Linked DNA regions of Arabidopsis thaliana. The protein of the gene in region 1 interacts with the protein of each later gene in a pairwise test. Each region holds a gene or a part of one and is shown in the gene's direction. Other genes may lie near its edges. The genes, in order: AT3G44620, PFK3 and AT5G44090.

What was found.
Region 2: the proteins of AT3G44620 (region 1) and PFK3 interact in a two-hybrid assay, tested with the Arabidopsis thaliana proteins (one large-scale study listed by BioGRID).
Region 3: the proteins of AT3G44620 (region 1) and AT5G44090 interact in a two-hybrid assay, tested with the Arabidopsis thaliana proteins (one large-scale study listed by BioGRID).

Annotation. Positions count from the first base shown.
Region 1 is NC_003074.8:16,191,477-16,197,001, forward strand, and holds AT3G44620 (protein-tyrosine phosphatase), read left to right. Parts: upstream 1-2,352; 5' UTR 2,353-2,381; coding exon 2,382-2,747; intron 2,748-3,143; coding exon 3,144-3,279; intron 3,280-3,438; coding exon 3,439-3,662; intron 3,663-3,883; coding exon 3,884-3,946; 3' UTR 3,947-4,357; downstream 4,358-5,525. Other genes in the region: AT3G44610 (Protein kinase superfamily protein), read right to left, coding at 87-631; AT3G44630 (Disease resistance protein (TIR-NBS-LRR class) family), read left to right, coding at 4,816-4,984, 5,072-5,525.
Region 2 is NC_003075.7:13,299,676-13,306,985, reverse strand, and holds PFK3 (phosphofructokinase 3), read left to right. Parts: upstream 1-2,545; 5' UTR 2,546-2,955; coding exon 2,956-3,057; intron 3,058-3,435; coding exon 3,436-3,482; intron 3,483-3,596; coding exon 3,597-3,636; intron 3,637-3,732; coding exon 3,733-3,795; intron 3,796-3,875; coding exon 3,876-4,013; intron 4,014-4,100; coding exon 4,101-4,259; intron 4,260-4,347; coding exon 4,348-4,401; intron 4,402-4,471; coding exon 4,472-4,540; intron 4,541-4,630; coding exon 4,631-4,760; intron 4,761-4,845; coding exon 4,846-5,111; intron 5,112-5,208; coding exon 5,209-5,254; intron 5,255-5,332; coding exon 5,333-5,487; intron 5,488-5,691; coding exon 5,692-5,892; 3' UTR 5,893-6,208; downstream 6,209-7,310. Other genes in the region: AT4G26280 (P-loop containing nucleoside triphosphate hydrolases superfamily protein), read left to right, coding at 1,264-1,590, 1,648-2,265; MIOX4 (myo-inositol oxygenase 4), read right to left, coding at 6,840-6,866, 6,991-7,072, 7,166-7,244.
Region 3 is NC_003076.8:17,742,098-17,750,932, reverse strand, and holds AT5G44090 (Calcium-binding EF-hand family protein), read left to right. Parts: upstream 1-2,407; 5' UTR 2,408-3,023; coding exon of another isoform or gene 3,024-3,173; 5' UTR 3,174-3,338; coding exon 3,339-3,593; intron 3,594-3,681; coding exon 3,682-3,921; intron 3,922-4,272; coding exon 4,273-4,378; intron 4,379-4,480; coding exon 4,481-4,580; intron 4,581-5,031; coding exon 5,032-5,137; intron 5,138-5,256; coding exon 5,257-5,347; intron 5,348-5,697; coding exon 5,698-5,839; intron 5,840-6,136; coding exon 6,137-6,284; intron 6,285-6,396; coding exon 6,397-6,506; intron 6,507-6,937; coding exon 6,938-7,094; intron 7,095-7,195; coding exon 7,196-7,321; intron 7,322-7,528; coding exon 7,529-7,669; 3' UTR 7,670-7,682; intron 7,683-7,821; 3' UTR 7,822-8,167; downstream 8,168-8,835. Other genes in the region: ckl7 (casein kinase I-like 7), read left to right, coding at 52-115, 207-291, 389-515, 613-698, 791-854, 955-1,088, 1,174-1,479.

The DNA of each region.
Region 1 (5,525 bases):
ATAGTAATAATTACTTCCCAAAAGATTTTTTTTTGAATTAGAAACTGAATATTTAAAAAAATAAATAACTTAACGGAAACTGTTACCTGACGGCGGATTCATGGAAACGTTTATGAGTCTGTTTTTGACGGAGAACGTGAAGGTCACCGCCGGGACAAAACTCCGTTAATAAACAGAGCCATTTCGGAGAATCAATGGCGGCGTAAAGCGTCGGAAGAAACGGATGATCAAGAGATTCGAGAATCTCTCTCTCCGTCTTAGCTCTACCTTCTTTGCTTCTGCTCGCGAGCTCCTTTTTATCCATAACTTTCGCTGCTAACAGAGGTAATTTAACGGCGGTGGTTTCTGTTACGGCGGTTAGGGATTTGAATTCGGCTAAGAAAACAGAGCCGATGTCGCCGGAACCGAGACGGAGACGGAATCTGAGATCGGAGAGTGAGAGAGATGATCGGAGTGAAGGAGGGAGTTTCGAAGATGAGAATGAACCGTGAGCTGATGGTGCTGGTGTTAAAGCTGCGGCGGAGGAGGAAGAGCGAGAACCGGAGCTTGTGCTTCGATTCACGGTGGTTCCGGCTGATGTAAAGCTTACACTCTGTAAGTCGTCGGTTAATTCGTCAATCCATGGCTCCATTTTCCGATCTACTGAGAGTGACGACGAGAGAGAGAAGAAGAAGAAGAAGAAGAGAGGGAGAGAAAGAGAGAAGTAACTGTGAGATTTTGCCTTTTTGGGGAAGAGAAAAAATAGAATCAAAAGAAGATGGCAAAGTTGTAATTTAAGGGTTGAGATATGGTGCGTTTCGTAATTTAAGGTAATAGTTCGATTGTTAAGGAGATGATGATACAGTATTCTATAATTGAGATGTTTTATTTATGTAAATAGACAATAATTAGGGAATTATTTGAGAGGGATTTTTGATTTCTCTATGAATTTTTAAGATCTTTGGTATAGGATTTGTTTCAAAAGAGAGAAACAAAGAGACATATAAATCTAGGCCCCTACAGAATTAAGATAATGACATATACATATCTTGTGTTTGTTCTATTTCAGTTGTGATTACTAGTATTTTCTTCGTATGGTACAATTATAAATAAATATCTAATCACTGTCTTTTGAATATTATGTCACCAAGTACAAGGATGGTGTTATTGGTGAACAATTTGTATCGTGAACTCAAATCCCTATTGCACGAACCTCAGGTTAGTGGTCGACTGGTCGCTCGGCCTCGTTTTCATTTCCTTTGAAACCATTATGGTTTAGATATTGGTTTAACTCAATTGCATATACCTAACCGGTTTGACTCGGGTGAATATGTTAGATAAGGAAAGTGTATATAACCCTTGTATTTTCTCATTAATGAAATCAGCAGAAACATTTTAGGTTGGATAAGGAAAGTGTCTATAACCATATCATTGAAAGACAAATTGCTTGGGTCGAAACCGGTTTTGTTAAGTCCGGCCCTGGATATATTACCAATTTGTAACACTCGTCTTAAACCGGATATTTTCTAGTCAGACCGAAAAAATACAAGTGAAAGAGGTTCAAATAAATTGATAACTTAGAACATTCATAACAATGACCAAAACAAATCTTTTCAATGAGGTTTGTAAATTGTAACTATATATCCGAATTAAAAAATAATCGTCATAAGTACTAACTGTTTTTCGGAGAATGAAATGGGCTATCTGTTGAAAACCTTAGGCCTGAGTTTAAAGACCATCTGTACAATTGGGCCAATAAGTAACGCATTATCCATCAACAAAGTACTGAAACATGAGACACTTAGACCATCTCCATCGGGGGTTTCTTGTAAGAATTTCTCACAATTAAAAAAAAAAAATAATAAAAATGAAGGAAAAAGAGTGTAGAAAGTTTCTCACTTGAGAAACTCTGAGATACTCTTTACAACCCATCATGATAATTCTCTTCTCATTATTGGTTCAACTTTTTAACAAAAATATTTTTTTAATCAAAAAATCAAATTATAATATAATATTAATTTTTTGTTTGTTTGAGAAACTTTGTGGGTTTCTCATGGATAAAAAGGCCCTTAACTTGTCATAGAAGTTACAACACAACATGAAAGTTAAACATCGCCGGCCAAAACAAAAATATTTCTGTGAATTTACACAAAATTATTTGCATTACCGACCATAATGTTCTCCTCAGTACCTTCAACACAATACAACAATACATTAACAAAATTGGTCTTCTAGCATTAGCCTCGTCTCTAAAATCTAACATCTTCTTCTACTCCTAATCCAACAATTGTTTATGTATATTCCCAATTATACCCCTCTATTACTTTGCTTATTACGGAAAAGGAGTTCAAAGAGCAGAAGAAGAAAACTCGTATATCCCAAATCTCCAACTTTTCAGGGGAATGATGATGTACTGTCCCAACCTCACGGCTTCTCTAACAATCCCTTCATATTTACCATTTTGCCACTACACTAGACAATTTCGTCCTTCTCATTTCCGATCATCTGATAAAAACCCGAATCTCGTTTCTATCATCCGAGCAAAACCCAGAATTTCTCATTCGCTTAGGTGCTTTGTATCATCTTCAATGGCGACTCCTCCTCCGACGCAGAGCAGCGAAACCAAACCTTACTCTGTTCTTTTTGTCTGTCTCGGAAACATTTGTCGCAGCCCAGCGGCTGAAGGTGTCTTTAGAGATATCGTGAAGAAGAGAGGTCTCGATTCCAAATTCAACATTGATTCCGCTGGAACAATTGATTATCACGAGGTATGATAATTAGTTCCAAAACAATTAATCTAATTTTAGGGTTTATGAGAGATGCTTGATTCATGGTTGATTTGAAATATTGGTGAATGATGGTTTTGTATGTAGAAAGGTTTGGTTTTGGTTTTAGGTTTTTTTGGTGGATGTAATTTGGTAGGAATACAGAGTTATAGAGACTTTGAAATTCATGTTTCTGAATCAATTTTGATGTGAAATTGCTCTTCTTACTAGGGAAGAGCAAAAACAGTAATCTATTTTTATGGTGATTGATGCTTTGATTGGAACAATTAGGCAATGGTGCTTTCAGATTTTGGTGGATGTAATGTGGTTGTAAATTAGGAGCAGTGGAGACTTTGGAATTTATGTTTCTGATTTGTGAAAATGTTGGTTTTTTAAAAGGGGAATATGGCGGATCCAAGAATGAGAAGTGCTGCGAAACGTCGCGGGATTGAGATAACATCACTATCCAGACCGATCAAGGCATCTGATTTCAGAGAATTTGATCTCATTCTTGCAATGGATGACCAGAACAAAGGTAGCTGATAGAGTAATTTATTCAACCTTTGTAGGGTCTGATCGATTTCTATGCAAATGGGATTCAACATAGGATAGAGACTTTTGCAAGTTGGGATCTGATTAGAGTTATATATGTAGAATTGAAATAAGTATGAGTTTGAATGTTTGATGTTTGCAGAGGATATATTGAAGGCTTATAATGTGTGGAAAGCCAGAGGGAATTTCCCGCCCGATGCAGATAAGAAGGTACCGTTGGTGTGTGTTTGCTGGACTTTGGAACTCTATTTAGTTGATAGATTTTCGTTGAATTTTCAGGTTAAGCTAATGTGTTCTTATTGCAAGAAACACAATGACAAGTTTGTTCCTGATCCATATTATGGTGGAGCCCAAGGTTTTGAGAAGGTAATTACCATTAGACTCTAAAGAAGCTGAATGCAGATATTTAATTTGGTTCATACCATTAGAGGTTGTCTATCAAAATGGTTGAGTCAGTCTATAAGACTTTAAAATGGCATTACCAGTGTCACTCCCAAGTAACTTTTCCATTCCCGAATTTTAGTGTTTTATGTGGACAAAACTCACTTGGAAACATGAATCTTGATCTCTTACTTGTTCTTTCACAGGTACTGGACTTGCTTGAAGATGCTTGTGAGTCTTTGCTGGATAGTATCACTGCGCAAAGTTGATGATACTACAAGTACAAAGTCCCAATCCTAGAACCTTTGTTGTTTTTGCACATAGAACTGAAAAGTTCTCTTATTATATTTAAGTGTCATCAGTGATGACAATAGAGTGAGAACTGATGTGAAGCTTGGATCTTGATCTTGTTGGTGTTTTCCTTGAAAAACCCTTTGTTAAATGATCTACTGATGGATCATTATTATTGAGATTGATAGCTTCAGTGATGTCAATAGTTTGTGAGGAATGATCTTCCTGATTCTTAAGAATCATAGAGAGTGGCACTCTTTACACGCTTGAATAATACGAATTCTTTTGTTCGATCATTATTATTAGGAAAGAAATAGATTTAAAAAAAAAAGAATGTGTGGACGTGAAGTGTTGTTGTTTGAGATGATAACAGAATATTTTCTCTTATCATTATGTGGCTTCCGAGAAATTAAGTGAATGGTGGTGGAGCATATGGACAATGATTTTGTCGTTTGCAATATTTTCCACGAAATCTCACTATATTTTCCATGAAACATCAATGGAGTTTTTCTGTGCCAATAGACTCGTCAACGGTCTATATCCTCATTCACACAAATTGTTTGAACTACCAAAATTCCATTAAACCCGTGTGATTCTTCAACTCTCTGGAGATTTCTCATCGTTTTATGCATCGGTGAGATTTTCATTTTTTTACTCCTCACTGTCTGAACTAAGTTCCAACTATTTTTAAGTTTTGCTTAAGGTTTTATCACTGTGGATTTGAATTGATTTGATGATAATGCTTTATTTGTTTTCGATTAGTGTTTTGAGCCCATTTCTTGATTATGTGTTCTTGATGGTGGGAATTAATGGTTGCAGCAGTGAATCATCAATAATCTAAGTTCTCATGGGTTCTGCAATGAGCTTGAGCTGTTCCAAGAGGAAAGCAACGAGTCAGGATGTTGATTCCGAATCTTGTAAAAGACGAAAGACATGCTCAACAAACGATGCTGAGAATTGCATATTCATTCCGGATGAGTCATCTTGGAGTTTATGTGCCAACAGAGTCATCACTGGTCTGTATCCATTCACATAAAGGCCATCTTAAATCTTGATCCACTCTTTACCATACTAATGAATTATTCTTATTTCCCTTGGCTCAGTGGCAGCCGTAGCTTTAACAAATTTCAGATTCCAACAAGATAACCAAGAAAGTAATTCTTCTTCTTTATCTCTTCCCTCCCTTGCAACTTCTGTGTCTCGAAACTGGAAACACGATGTCTTCCCGAGCTTCCACGGAGCAGATGTCCGAAGAACCTTTCTTAGTCACATCATGGAATCGTTCAGAAGAAAGGGAATTGACACATTCATTGATAATAATATAGAGAGGAGTAAGTCGATCGGTCCTGAGCTCAAAGAAGCTATCAAAGGATCAAAGATCGCAATCGTTTTGCTCTCAAGAAAATATGCTTCTTCGTCTTGGTGTCTTGATGAGTTGGCCGAGATCATGAAATGCAGGCAAATGGTGGGTCAGATTGTCATGACCATTTTCTATGAAGTGGAGCCAACTGACATAAAGAAACAGACCGGTGAATTTGGAAAAGCCTTCACAAAAAC
Region 2 (7,310 bases), on another chromosome or scaffold:
TATGGTGACCATTTGAACGTTATTAACTTTATCCATGTTTTTTATGCTATCAATGATGTCATGTAAATAACTATTCTCCTGGACATGCCAACGTGTTCCGTGAGTTCTAATTTCGTTCCAACAATCTAGTCTTCTTCTTTAGTTTAGCACCATAATCACATCTACCCTAACATGTTACATATGGTCATCTCTTAATTTCTAAATGATGGTTTGAATTATAAATGGAGATTTTATGCATTAATTATGGTGTTGTGCAATTCTACGAGTATAAAAATTGTAAGCTAATGATAAATTATATATACACGTAAATTTTACAAAATGTTACGTAAATTTGCTCCCTCAATTTTGTATATTTGCTTATGAACTGTGTCAATGTCACATCCATATTTGTTATTCAAGCCCTGGTTAAATAGCAGAGAAGAGTATGCCAACAAAATTACCCTTCCCGCCAACTATTACACACAAGCTAAAATGAATCAATTCTCTTATGGTTACGTCAAACACTTAAACTAACCTGTTAACCAGCTTAAAAAAAAAATATATGAAAGTTGCAGAATGTTGAACCTATAATCTAACTTAGACATTATCTTGCGATAGGAATATATTAAAATATTTAAATAATTAATGCTGACATTGCGATGTCATGTACGTTTCCAATATAAACACTCTCGATTAAAGTGAATAAGTGATGCCCTAAGTGATATGTATAGGTCAGGACATTGTATATTATTGAATCATCAAATGACCATTCGGGCAGGCTGAGGTACAAATAGATAAAAATCGATGGTAGATACCAGTTGGAAAGTGAATGGAATCCTTGGCAGCAGAAAAGATAATTTTGGAATCTTTGGATTTTAATGTCCTATTATCTCATAGACAAAGAAGACAGAATTTTTACTTTTAAAAATATCAAGTTTATAGTTATCGTATGCTAGTTATAGGAAGACATACTTTTCACGAGTAAAAGAACTTTTTTTTGTATGTATTACACTTCTAGTATAAAAATACATGCACTATAATTTCTGATTCATAATTTCATAATCCCCTACCACGTTATCTCTCTTTTTGTTTTTGTACGTCACTATTGCCTCTCGATTTTTGAGATACATGTTCGTAATAAAATAAAATAAATATTTTTAAAAGTGATGTGTAAACGTTTTATTGGATCATATATTTTAACATTTTAATATAAATAGTGATACTAGGGGTTTGAAGCAAACACAGCATTCAAAATAAGTCGCTAAAAGTAAAAACAAAAGAAAAATGGAGAAGTGGATGAACTTGAGAGACGAAGACTTAACGGAAGAAACAAAGACTCTAATCTCTTCACTTTCTTCAGAGAAAGGGTACCTCGGTCGAAACCTCTGCAAGTACCAAGGCTCTTGGTATTACTACAACTTTCTCCAAGGTGTTCTCAATTTCCAGAGAGGTTTTAAGCCTCAAGACACTGATATTATCGTCGCATCGTACCCAAAATCCGGCACCCTGTGGCTCAAGGCACTCACTGTCGCGCTTTTTGAGAGAACAAAGAACCCTTCTCATGATGATCCTATGAGCCATCCTCTTCTATCCAACAATCCTCACAACCTCGTACCTGTCCTTGAGATGAATCTTTACCGGGATACCCAAACACCGGACTTGACCTAGCTCTCATCATCATCTCCAAGGTTGTTCTCTACTCACACGCCTTTCCACACGCTGCAAGTAGCTGTCAAGGACTCTCCTTGCAAGGTGGTTTACATCTGCAGGGACGCGAAAGATTCGCTGGTGTCACGTTGGCATATCGTTTGCAGGAGTCTGAATAAAGAAGAGGACAGAACCATTCTTGAGTCTATGTTTGAGTCCTTTTGCAGCGGAGTCTGCTTGTTTGGTCCGTTTTGGGATCATATCCTGAGTTACTGGAAAGCTAGCTTGGAAAAGCCAAAGCAAGTGCTTTTCATGAGGTATGATGAGATAAAAACAGATCCTCATGGTCAGCTCAAGAAACTCGCAGAGTTTTTGGGTTGTCCATTTTCTAAGGAAGAAGAAAAGAACGGATCTCTAAATAAGATCTTGGAGATGTGTTCTCTGCCTAACCTGAGCAGTTTGGAGGTTAACAAGACCGGAAAGTCAATCAATGGCATAGAGTACAAGAACCATTTCCGCAAAGGGATAGTTGGTGACTGGAAGAATCATCTAACTCCGGAAATGGGTAGCAAAATCGACATGATCATGAAGGAGAAACTCAAAGATTATTCCGAGGTTTGGTTTGAAAATGCATTGTAATAATTAATAAGTGACCCTTCTGATGTTAAGGTGCATGGTTTTAAAATTCTGAATTAGTGATGTTTATGTGTTGTTTGTGTTTTGTTTTCCTTTGAAATGCATTGTAACAATAAGTACCTGTATCCTTTGATCATGTAAAGGTTCATGGTTTCAAAATTCTGAGAAATAATAAACCGGATCGGTTATTTCGGTTATCGGTCGGACCGTATTAATGCATGGCTTGACCTTGACTTGATAACCAAGCCCAACAGTTGGAAAAAATCAATAAAAGGTAACAAAATAGAAAACCAATAAACAAATATCAATTCTAGAAAAATATCGATCTTTCTCTGCAAGTACTTGTACTAGTCGTCGTTACTGTCAAATAATCTACAAAGCAGTGACCAAAACCACCATTTCCGCACATAGCTAAGACCTTTAATGGTTTCCTCTCTCTCTCTATCTCTACCTGGCTTTGTAATTTGTTTACCGACTACAATGGTCAAAATTTCTCTACTCCTATAAAAATGGGTCGCCTTGTTTTTGATCAACGGATTTGATTCATCTTTCTTTTTACCTTTCTTCCTGCTTTCGTATTCAATTTGTAGTTGACCAGTTCAAAAGTCTCTATACCAGAAAAAAAAATCGTTTTTTATTATATTATAAGACTTTTCCCCTGAAATTGTTGTTCCTCTGTTTCGAGCGTTCGTTATGAGTACTGTGGAGAGTAGCAAACCGAAGATCATCAATGGCTCTTGTGGTTATGTTCTAGAAGATGTACCGCATCTCTCCGATTACCTTCCTGGTCTTCCTGTATGTTTACCTCTCTCTTTTTTTAATCTGATTTGATTAAAGCTTTTGCTTTTGAGCTTTAACTGTTGCAAAAGGTTGAAACTTTGATCTATGTTGATAGATATTTATATATCAATTTTTTCAGCTGAGGACTGTTTAGTTTTTTTGTTTGGAATTTGAGATAGATGAAATGAATTTCCCAGATTCTGATTAGTATAAGATAGCCCAGGGTAAAGAAAAAGGGGTCTTTTGTATTTGGGTCTCAAGAATTATGAACCTGGATCAAAATCTGTAGCATGGTTTAAGAGTTTTTGTCCTTTTACCATGTTATTTTTGGGATCGAATGATGGTTAAGTTTTGATTAATGGTCAATTTTCTTTTGGTTTTATGTTATTGTAGACTTATCCTAATCCATTGCAAGACAATCCAGCTTACTCAGTGGTTAAGTAAGTCCTTTCTCACAGATGTTTTGGTGACTAAGGTTCCTAATTGTGTCCTATGGTGATTCAATCATTAGCCTGCAGTTGTTACATTAGTTTTTTATTTTTGGAAATTTTCAGGCAATACTTTGTTGATGCTGATGACAGTGTTCCTCAAAAGGTATATATTTGGTTGGGTTCTTTCTATAATATCAGGGCATCCTGAGAATTTGGAGCTCATGTTTTGTCTTACTGACTCTTCTTTTTGTTGTTTTAGATCGTTGTTCACAAGGATGGTCCAAGGGGGATTCATTTTAGACGAGCCGGGCCACGTCAGAAGGTTTTTCGTCGTTTTATCGAATTGCTTTAAAGTCCTTTTTCCATTTCAATAGGGTCTGTTGTTGACTTAGTTCTCTGCAGGTATACTTCGAATCTGATGAAGTGCATGCTTGCATAGTTACCTGTGGAGGTCTTTGTCCTGGCCTTAATACCGTGATTAGAGAAATAGTGAGCAGTCTATCTTATATGTATGGAGTGAAGAGAATACTGGGAATAGATGTAAGTTTCTGTGATTGTAATCTCCTTCTTACCAAAACAAACACGGTATTCATTTGTTTCATTTTCACATGCTTGAGACTTTTTCAGGGTGGATATAGAGGCTTTTATGCTAAGAATACTGTCTCCTTGGACTCTAAAGTTGTAAATGATATCCATAAGCGTGGAGGGACTATCCTTGGGACCTCACGAGGTGGTCACGATACCACAAAGATAGTTGACAGCATTCAAGATCGAGGAATCAATCAGGTTTTGATAACCATCACCTCTTTACACCGTGTTCTGTTCCAAGAGTACATACAAACTCGTTCTTGATGTAGTTTTTTTCATCGTTCAGGTTTACATTATAGGAGGAGATGGAACACAGCGAGGAGCATCTGTCATATTTGAGGTAAATTTCACTTCTACCTTACAATTCTACAATTTCAGTGTTTACTGATCTTTTGGTGGTAACCATGTAGGAAATTAGAAGACGTGGCCTGAAAGTTGCAGTTATTGGAATCCCGAAAACAATCGATAATGACATACCTGTATGTATCTCTTTCTACTGCTTTGTCTCTATAGAAGAGCTGTATTTCTTATGTGGAGAAATTGAGAACTTGACTTTTGTATTTGTGCAGGTGATAGACAAATCTTTTGGGTTTGACACTGCTGTAGAAGAGGCTCAACGAGCTATTAATGCAGCACATGTGGAAGCCGAGAGTATAGAGAATGGTATCGGAGTTGTCAAGCTTATGGGTCGCTACAGCGGTGAGAATTCACTCTTCTACTTCTTCTTTGCCTTATCAAGCTCTCTTATTAGACTATTTCACAAGTTTGTTCACTGCTTTAACAGGGTTCATAGCGATGTATGCCACTCTAGCAAGCAGAGATGTGGACTGCTGTTTGATTCCGGAGTCACCATTTTACCTGGAAGGAGAAGGCGGACTGTTTGAGTACATAGAGAAACGACTCAAGGAGAGCGGTCACATGGTTCTTGTGATTGCAGAAGGTGCAGGACAAGATCTAATGTCGAAGAGCATGGAATCTATGACACTCAAAGATGCATCTGGTAACAAACTTCTTAAAGATGTTGGCCTTTGGCTGTCACAAAGCATCAAGGTAAACCATAAATTACAGAGACAGCATCAAACATTGATGCATAGGAAAATCAGACTAAACTCACCTACTACTAAATTTTGGTTTTACTCGGTTGTAGGATCATTTTAATCAGAAGAAGATGGTGATGAACCTCAAGTACATAGGTACAATTTATATCCCTTGCATTGCATTCTCTCCACCATGAGTTTCTTGATTGTTCATTTTTCTTGTCTTAATTTCAGATCCAACATACATGATTCGAGCTGTTCCTAGCAATGCGTCAGACAATGTTTATTGTACACTTCTGGCTCAGAGTGCAGTGCACGGTGCAATGGCTGGATACACTGGCTATATCAGTGGTCTAGTGAACGGAAGACAAACCTACATACCCTTTTACGTAAGTCATAAAATCGATTTAAATTTTAATGATGTGATAGCATGCTTTGGCAATCAAAAAATAGAGCACCAAAAATTGATGATGCATGATCATTATACCAGTATCATCATACTGTCATCAGTTATCATCACCGTTAAAGTCATCATCCTCATATCATCATAATCATAGTATCACTTTTATGTAAACATCATTTTTATGTTACAGAGGATAACGGAGAAACAGAACCATGTGGTGATCACAGACAGGATGTGGGCAAGGCTACTCTCTTCGACAAACCAGCCGAGTTTCTTGGGCCCCAAAGATGTCTTTGATAATAAAGAGAAACCGATGTCGGCTCTCCTTGACGATGGTAACTGCAATGGCGTGGTGGATGTTCCTCCAGTCACCAAAGAGATCACCAAGTGACCTGAACATAAGAACAACGACAGAAAAGCTTTGCGTTTTCAAAAGATGTTACATGTTTTAGGTAGTTGAGTAAAATAATAGGGTGTTGACGGTTTTACCCTTTTTGGCATAACAAAGCAATCTTTGTTAGATGCCTCACGTTGTAATTTTCCACGTCATGATGCTTTAGTCCCACGTCATATAAATAAGTTCCATTTATCCCATTTTACATTCTGCTTATATATAGAATAATCTAGCTACGAATTGTCAATGCATGATCATGTCAATGTGATGATTGATTATTTGCTATTTAAGACGTTAAAAATATGTTCTTTGCTGAAATCAAAATGCAAATATTCAAGTTCTTGCTTTCAACTATAACATGGTGAATCCTTCAAAGTTTTAACCATGTGATCAACATAAATTTTGTAGATAATTTCATACGAAATGACAGTTATACTAGATCATTATCATCGTCATATAGAAATATGTGATTACGTATCTTACGAATTACACCTGTTTGGTACGTAATTCTCTTCTGTCCATGACCTAACAGAAGCGAAGATGCAAAGATACCGTGATCAATTTGAACACCTCTATCTGAGTATGAGCATTAAAGGTCATGACATTGTTCGCATGGATGTATCAGTACTAATGTAATATTGTACACTTAGAGTTACGTTAATAAAACTTTGTTTACATTACAATGCACAATTTTTAGACCTTGGAGGCTTAGATTATTATAAATAAACTTCATTATTTAAGATCTTATATCACCCGACGTACAAACTCTTTAGCATTCACGAGGGTTGATTGTGATTACATTTCAGAGACAGCCTGAATATGATTAACATAAGATATATATAACACAATTACAATAGATTCACATTAACTCGAAAATGTGTAAAAATATTTGTAAGTAAATAAAACGACTAATCCTCCATGGGCACTTTTTTACTCCACCGAATTCACCACCTCAAGTTTTCCGGGAAATACTGCAAAATCGAAAAAGAGAAGAAAGAATTTATAGTCAGCTGAAGAATTTAGAAATATATGAATGTTTTCAATATTAATACACTTTTCATTGTTTTTTGTAATGAGCATGCAATATATACTCACTTTCTTGATAAGAGACATGTAGTAAGGCTTGACCTTCTCCACATCAACGTGAACTTTGCTCTTACTGTACAAGTCGTACTTGCTGTAATAAAATTCATATATATATATAGCAGTTTAGAGATGCTATTAGGAGAAACAACAAATCACTTAATCATGTTTAAGAAAATGTGATTACTTGAAAACGTGTAGCCACTTCAGATTCTCCTTGTCTTCCTCGTTCATAAGATGGGTGTATTCTCCAGCCGTGTGCAAAGCTGCATATATTCAATTGATTTATTAAAATAACCTTTACTCATAGCTACAAATTTATAATGTTACTA
Region 3 (8,835 bases), on another chromosome or scaffold:
ATAAAAATTTTCCGTCAAATACTTAATTAGTTTTCGCTGATGTTTAAACAGAACAAAGTCGAAGGGATGATTTGGAATCACTTGGTTATGTTCTTATGTATTTTCTCAAAGGAAGGTTAGCGTCTACAGCTTCTCTACCTGAGTCTGTAAAATTCTGTATATTTTCTTGAACAGAGTTTAAACCATATGTTTTTTTGGGCTATCAGCTTACCTTGGCAGGGATTAAAAGCTGGGACAAAGAAGCAGAAGTATGACAGAATCAGCGAGAAAAAAGTGTCAACTCCTATAGAGGTTAGGTTACAACAACTTGACAAACCGAAAGGATTTTCATTTTGGCATTGGTAGGTAATCTAGCTTTTCTAACTGAGCTTGGAATGTTTCGATGTAGGTATTGTGTAAAAACCAACCGTCCGAGTTCGTTTCATACTTTCATTACTGCCGATCTTTACGGTTTGATGACAAACCTGATTACTCTTACCTCAAGAGGCTTTTCCGTGACTTGTTTATCCGAGAAGGTTCTTATCTTAACATCATTATTCCGAGAAATTTTATTCGCTTACTGTTTCAAGCCACTCTCATCTTATCTTTTTCATATTGTTGAAACTCTTACAGGTTATCAATTCGATTATGTATTTGACTGGACAGTCTTAAAGTATCCTCAAATCGGATCCAGCTCTGGTTCTAGTTCACGAACAAGGGTGATTATTAAAAATCTTATACTTGTGTTTTTACCCTCATGGTTTTTGAGTTTCTCTGTACTTACGTAAATGTAAATCTTTGGATTTTCCAGCATCATACAACAGCGAAACCCGGATTCAACGCAGATCCTATTGAAAGACAAGAGAGGATCCTAGGTAAAATTCTGCTTTTCCTACTTCTATTAAAAATCTCAAAACCATACACATCCATTCCTCACTCTAATTTCTACTCTTTTTTTATTTACCATTCGTGTAGGAAAGGAAACAACCCGATATAAAATCCCAGGTGCAGTGGAGGCATTCTCCAGAAGACACCCGACTACAACTTCTTCGCCTCGAGATCGTTCTAGATCAAGAAACTCAGACGACGGACCTTTCTCTAAGCAGACAGTAAAAATCTTACTCTTTACATACATTGTTGATCAGAACCGCTAAATAAGACAAAGACCTAACTGTGTTTGTTTTATTTGTGCAGCATGGAGACTCCGAAAGAGCAAACAGTTCCTCAAGATATAGAGCATCTTCTTCTAGGAAAGCCGTTGCTGCTTCAAGCTCCCGGCCAAGTTCTGCAGGTGGACCAAGCGAAAGCCGAACTTCAAGTCGTCTGGTTTCCTCAAGCGGTGGTGGTGGCAGCGGCAGTGGAAATGGCCGTCCCTCAACTAGCCAGAGAGTGCAAGCTGGATATGAATCCAAGACTCTGTCTTTCTCTCGTGCAACAGCGGCAAGAAACACTCGGGAAGATCAATTAAGAAGCTTCGAGCTTCTCTCTCTTCGGAAATAAAGGAAAATGATGGAGAGAGAGACAGCAAACTCCATGAAAACCCAAAGAAATTACCTCTGAAGAAAGATGAGAATCTTGGTTTGAGGGAATTCATATATTTGAACCTGATGAAATCCTCAGATCTTTTTACATGTAATTTCAGCTTCAGCTTGCAGAGATCTTTTTCACTCGTTTTGTTTATGTAATCGTGATATGTGTTAGACAAACATAACAATCAAAAATGTAGAGAGAGTTTCCATGTAAAAACGGTAAAATTTCTATCCGTATATTCGATTACTTCGAACCTATCTGTACTGGTACTGTAATAAACAAAACAATCAACTGCTCTTTGGTCTCTTTTAATGCTTCTGTTTTTTTGGGGCAGGCATACTCTGGTCAAATCATGTAAAAACGGTGAAATTTTGGCTTAATAGTAAAATTAGCTCATCTACTTAGTCAAATCATACTTTAGATGACTCCAATCTAAAACTCTTTATTTTTATTTTTTCCATACTTCAAATGTTTACTTATTCACTGATCGTATACTTGAATGGTTATAGTTAAACTCTTCACATTTTGTTAGCGCTCATCTTCGAATAAAGTGGCAAAACTGAATTTCATATTGAAGTTACACATATAAAATACATTCATTTTTAGATTCATATGATCTACTCCTACATACTTTTGCATTTCGACTAAAAAAGCAAGTGCTCCAATACAATTTTTGAGAAATGACAAATATTCATCATCATTCTTCAAAACTAGGTTTACACATGTGAAGTCACATTTTTATGACTTTAATGAATCAGTTGCAATCTTGATGATAACAGTCGAAACGTCATGAAGTTTAACAACCAAACAAACAATTTGATCGCTAATTTCTGCGATTTATTAATTGACTCGAGACTCAAATAAACATGATCGCAAAAACGGATAAAGAACGCTGGATTTGGTTGACTTTTTGGTCAACGTTGAGGACTAAAAGTGGAAAACAAAAATACCACCACCACCGCTAGTACTACTGCGTCTGAGACTGAGAGAGAGTATTAAAATCAAAATTAAATACTTTTTCCTTTTTAATTCATTTTCTCATCAATAACACAATCTCCCTGGAAAAATTCTCTACGACTTCCTCTCGTCGTCGAGCTTGTTATTGATCGGAGAGAGAGATCAGTGTTCTTTGGATCTTCCAATTTCTTCCACGTTTGTGCTTGAATTGCAGAAGAAGTTTTGTATAGGACTCTGTTTTGCTTGTTGATAGAATTTGGGAATCTAGGGTTTATCGAATCGTTTATTTTGGTTTTCGTTTAGTTTCTCTTCTTCGAGCTGGTGTTTCTCAACTAGTTAGAGAGTTTCTCGATTGGTCAGAGCTGCTTTTATTGAATTTTCTTTGGATTTCGTGCTTATAGATCTTTGAAAAGTCTGAGAATCCTGTTTTGGAGTTACTGCTTCAAGTTATTGGAAGAAATTAGGGTTTCGATCCAATTTTAGAATTGACTCAAGGAATTCCGATATTGGGGTTTTGTTGTAGTTCTGATTCTCAGTGAATAAGATAGAAGATAATCATGGAAATCGATGGTGGAAACGATGTTCAGATTTTGGATCCTGAGCTCTTGCAGCTTCCCGGTTTGTCTCCTGTATCACTTAAAGAAAATCCTCATATTGCTGAAGAACTCTTCTCCCAGTGGCTTTCACTTCCTGAAACTGGCCGATTGGTAATTTTATTCCCAAGCCTCTGGCTCAGTGGCTCCTTAGCGTCGTTTGGTTTCTTGTTCATTTAATAGTTGGCGCCTGTTTTATGTATATGCTGATACCTGTTCGTAAGTCCTTGTTGTGACTTTATCTGATTTCAAGTCAATTTCTGCAGAGCAAGATTCAACATGCTTATTGCTCTTACTGAATCCTCGGCTGTTGCATATTTAGTAGTTTTGTTTATTTCTTATAGATTTTACTTAGTGTTAGATAAAGAGTGCTTGAATAGCACATTTAGGGGTTATAATGACTTAGGTGATAATAGTACTGGGATATTACAAGGCTCTGCTAAACTTGAGAAGTGTTTGTATTTGTGTAGTACCAGATTTAACTTAAAGCTCCTGAGAATATGGTCCAGTGTTGTATGCCGATTGCCGACTCATGTTGGTGAAGAAACTTTTGGTGGTTGTTTTTCGTTTAAGGTTTTACGTGGTCCTCTTTTAACAGTTCATCTGTGTGATGTTTGTGCAGGTCAAGTCTTTAATTGATGATACTAAATCTAGTACCCCAGTCAGTGTATCCAAAAATTGTACTAGTCTCAATGTTGCTTGCGGGAGTGCATTGCCATCTGTTTTTCTGAACAGCGGCACTCCCCCACTATCCCCACGAGGCTCACCTGGGTCTCCCCGTTTCTCGAGGCAAAAGACAAGCCCTTCTCTACAGTCTCCTCTGAAATCAGTCAGGGAACCAAAGCGCCAACTCATTCCACAGGTTCGATTTTTTATCCAACTGCTCCTCATATGGATGTCTTACAAACAACATGAGAAGGCACTACCTTGCTTGACAGTTGACATCATGATTTGATTGTTTTATATATGCTCACGTAATTGTTGAAACTAGACTGTAATAGTTTTCTAAGTAGATGGAGAACCACGAGAACAAATACAATAGAAACTAAATTCTTCGTTCAAGTAGCATAGGTACAATTTTTTTTTTAACAAAACGATGACAACAAGTAAGTTTATTATGGTCATCCGTTTGACATCTTACATAGTTGAAGGGTTTAGCTAATATTGTTCAACATTCTTGTTTGACGCTTCTATGCCTTGATATGCTATGCAGTTTTACTTCCAACATGGACGTCCACCTGCGAAGGAACTAAGGGAGCAATGTATATCCATGGTTGATCAATTTTTTAGTAACTATATAGACGGACTTCATATGGATGGTGATGTTTAAATACAAGCTTTTTTACATCACAGTCCCGTTCTGTAATGAATAGACAAACAGTTGATCTTACAAACACATTCTTGCTATTGTTCAATTGCAGAATTCAAATCCATTACTAAAGAAGTCTGCAAGCTGCCTTCTTTTCTTTCCTCTGTACTATTTAGAAAGATAGACACGAGTGGCACCGGTATCGTTACAAGGTAAATCATTGTGTTCTTTCTTTTCATATGTAATTGTAGTTAAATGTATATATCCACTGGTATTCATATGTGTTTCATGTAATATAATAATAGATCACATTGGTCTGGATTTCCAGATGCACGCTCAGCTATTTGTTTCATAAATTGCTCACCCTTAAAAGAAATGGAATGTGGCATAGTAATTTTAATACCTGATTGTTATCTTTTTATTTATTTATGCCACTCGAATATAATTTCTTTTTACTTTCAATAAATTTAGTGTGCTCGATTTTATATATTGTTTAGAACATTTGTGATAAGTAATATTGAAGTTTCTACCCTGTAGATATTGTTTGGAATTGATACATCTTTAAATTAGCCAAATCATGAGTAATATCATAGAAATATACAGCAGCTGTAATCTTTCTGTTTAGCTAGTATCTTTTAAATACACCATATTTGGTTCCTGCAGGGATGCATTTATCAAGTATTGGGTTGATGGACATATGTTGGCAATGGACGTAGCCTCACAGATATATAATATTTTAAGGCAGCCAGGTTGCAAGTACCTTAGACAGGTCTCTTTGTTTTCTTTTCCCAGCTCTTCACTGCTGTTTTGATTTGTTTACCAATGATTATTGTCTCACTTGATTTCTTTAGTCCTGAAGGCTAATGTCTTCTTTTGGATTTGGGATAGGCTGACTTCAAACCAGTTCTTGATGAGCTTCTGACAACTCATCCCGGCTTGGAATTCCTGAGGAATACACCTGAGTTTCAAGAAAGATATGGTAAGAACTTGGTTTTTGATACATTGATGTTATGGTGTGAAATAGTTCTACCAGAATGTCTGTTTTCTACTAAGACGTTCGTACAATTTCTTTCCATATATATATGATCTTTCAAAACGCATTGACGAACTTGAAAGTGACATCTTTAGCTGGCTTGATTGGCCTAGGCAATAATTCTTCTAATTTTAATTCTATGTACTTGTTCATTATAATTACATTTTGAAAATTATGAGATGCTTCTTAAATATAGTATATTTTCAGGTGCTTACTGTTTTATACATCTATTGACTAATTCATAATTTTTCCCGTGCTTGTTTCATTCATCTCTGTGTTCTATTCCGTCAACCCAGCTGAGACCGTCATCTACAGAATATTTTACTACATAAACAGATCAGGTACTGGTTGCATTACTCTTAGAGAGCTGAAGCGTGGGAATCTTATTACTGCCATGCAACAAGTTGATGAAGAAGACGACATCAATAAAGTTATTAGGTGACTTTGTTTTCCTTTTCATTATTTCTTAAACAATACGTTAAAAAGATTAAGATTTTAGTTTTATTTGTATAATAAAGACCACTTTAAGTTGTTTAAGAATTCAAGCTCAGCAAGGTGTGTAGCATTGTGAGTAATATGGGTAGTGCATAGGTCTTCGAATTGTTTCTTAGACATAAGCACTACCCATAAAACTCATAAAGAGGAAGAAGTGTATTGGTAGTTCATATTGTGATACTGTGGCAAGACATCATGCATGATTTGACCATTCAATATGACCTTTTCTTTACTTTTCAGGTACTTCTCCTATGAGCATTTCTACGTGATATACTGCAGATTTTGGGAACTCGATGGCGACCATGATTTCCTTATTGATAAGGAAAATCTCATCAAATATGGTAATCATGCCCTTACCTACAGGATTGTCGACAGAATATTTTCACAGGTTGGCTCCAGTTGTCAAAATGTTAATGAACACTTTTCTCGAAACTTAATTGTTATCTTATGGAGTGTGTTTCCTTCTTTCTTAATTGAAATTACGGCTGTCTCTCACTCAGGTTCCTAGGAAATTTACAAGCAAAGTTGAGGGGAAGATGAGTTATGAAGATTTTGCATACTTTATTCTCGCTGAGGAGGATAAGTCATCTGAGCCTAGTCTTGAGTATTGGTACATGTCTCTTCCCCTCTTCTCTTTTTGTCTTTAGTGACTTCTCTTTAGCCATTTTGTCCTTTAGCTGCTTAGCTCACAGTATGTCACTATAAATGTATAACTTCTGAGCCAAAACTTGTGGCATATGTGGCCTTCTTGATGATACAAGCCTACCTGATATTTTGAACGCACTAAACATTTAGTAGTACTATTATTTCATGAACATAGGATACCCATCTTGAATCTAAGACATTTTCATTCATCATCTCATGAACCTAGAACATTTTCATTCATCATCTCATGAATCTAGAACATTTTCAGTTGAACCGCTGATATGAGGGCATACCTCGCTGGTATGCTCATCTATCTCCCATCGATGTTAAACACAGGTTCTTGGCAGTTTTTTGTTTTTCGTTTTCCCTTGATATTGATTAAAACCATCTTTGCAGGTTCAAGTGCATAGACCTAGATGGAGATGGGGTGATCACTCCCAACGAGATGCAGTTTTTCTACGAAGAGCAGCTGCATCGCATGGAATGTATAACCCAGGAACCTGTACTCTTTGAAGATATCCTATGTCAAATATTCGACATGATTAAACCAGAGGCAAAATTTCTTTTAAACCATAACATGGTCTTTTGATATTCCTGGCTTGTCTGTTCCTTTGCTCTTATTCGCATCATCAATTTGTCGAATGACTCTTTCAGAAGGAGAACTGCATCACACTCCAGGATCTGAAAGCATCCAAACTTTCTGGAAATATTTTCAATATACTCTTTAACCTGAACAAATTCATGGCGTTTGAAACCCGTGACCCTTTTCTCATTCGTCAGGTAAACATAGGTTTTCTATAGAGTTTTCCTCCCTTTGGTTATTCAATCCTTCGTTTAGCTGTTGAAACTGTTACTACTGAATATTTATTAATGCCATAAAAATTCGCAAAAATTATTATAAGTTCAGATAGTCACCTACTACTGCAGCCGGTTGTATCTGTTCCAGTCTCTGCTACTTCTAAACCAACTTTGTTTTCCATTTGACAGGAACGTGAGAATCCAACATTGACGGAATGGGACCGATTTGCTCAGAGAGAGTATGTGAGGTTGTCAATGGAGGAAGATGTGGAGGAAGTCTCGAATGGGAGTGCAGATGTTTGGGATGAACCACTCGAATCTCCATTTTAGTGACTCGTAAGAGGTACTTTGTTCAACACTGGTCAGCATCATGTTCCTTATGCATGTATGAAATAGCAAAATTGATGTGCTCAATGTTACAAGTTTGTATCTTTTGGTATATTAAACGTATTAAAAGCCGTTTTCGTTGCTTTTTTTACTAGTTTCTTGGGAAGAAGAGGGAGAAGTCAGATCTTCTTGGGTGGTAAGAGCCTCGGAAACAATTTTCAGACAGACAACCACGAAAGCCAGTCCATTCCACGGTTCCACCTAGAGATTGGCGACCAAGAGACTTATCCGATGCGTAAGCTTGTGTTAGTTTCATGAAATATTTGTCTTGCTTAGGTTTCTCAGGTTGGACCCTCTTTCAATCTTATGTATATTATTATATACGCCGCTTTATAGTGTTTTGTGGAACCAACAACAACGGTTTTATTTAAAATCGAAAGAACTATGTACAAAGACACTTTTTTTTGTGGGAAGAAATTTACAAACCTTGAAACTTGTTTTACATGATCATTGTTTTTGCTTTTTCCTCATTAGCAAATTTGTGCCTATGATATCAACTACAATTCTCGTATAAACTATAGAATATCAAATCAAATTATATACTATATATCAGTTTTTGATTGGTTTGAGCCGACATTGGTTATTTGTTTGTATAAGAATCATTAAAACTTTGTTTGTCAATATGATATTTTGGAAGATGTGTTAAAAAGTCGTGCATTTTGTTTTAACAAGCATGAACTCACTTTCTATGGCGGTTAAAAATAAGGGAATTTGACACGTTTAGACATTTTTAAAGAATTTTATTCTTTTTGAGGCACTTGTCACGGATGAAGCACTTTTCCAACTTTTTCATTAAACTTTTGACCAATTTATCTCTGAAAATTAAGAAATTATAATAAAAAAAAAAAGTTTCATCTTTCCACGTTCCTTTTTTTTTCTTCTTCTTCGTCGCTTCTTCTTTTCACTCTCTTTCTCTCTCTTCTCATTATTACTTTTTTTCTTTCCTTGCAAAATCAAACATTTGAGAGTTTGTCAAGATCGTGTAGCTTCTGTATTTTTCTTTACGGAGAAGCCTCTCTAAAGAAAACGGAGAATAAATAGTAAGGGTGTCGTTGCGACCACTTTTACATGAGATGTTGGTATCGTCGGCATCACTAGACTAAACGGCG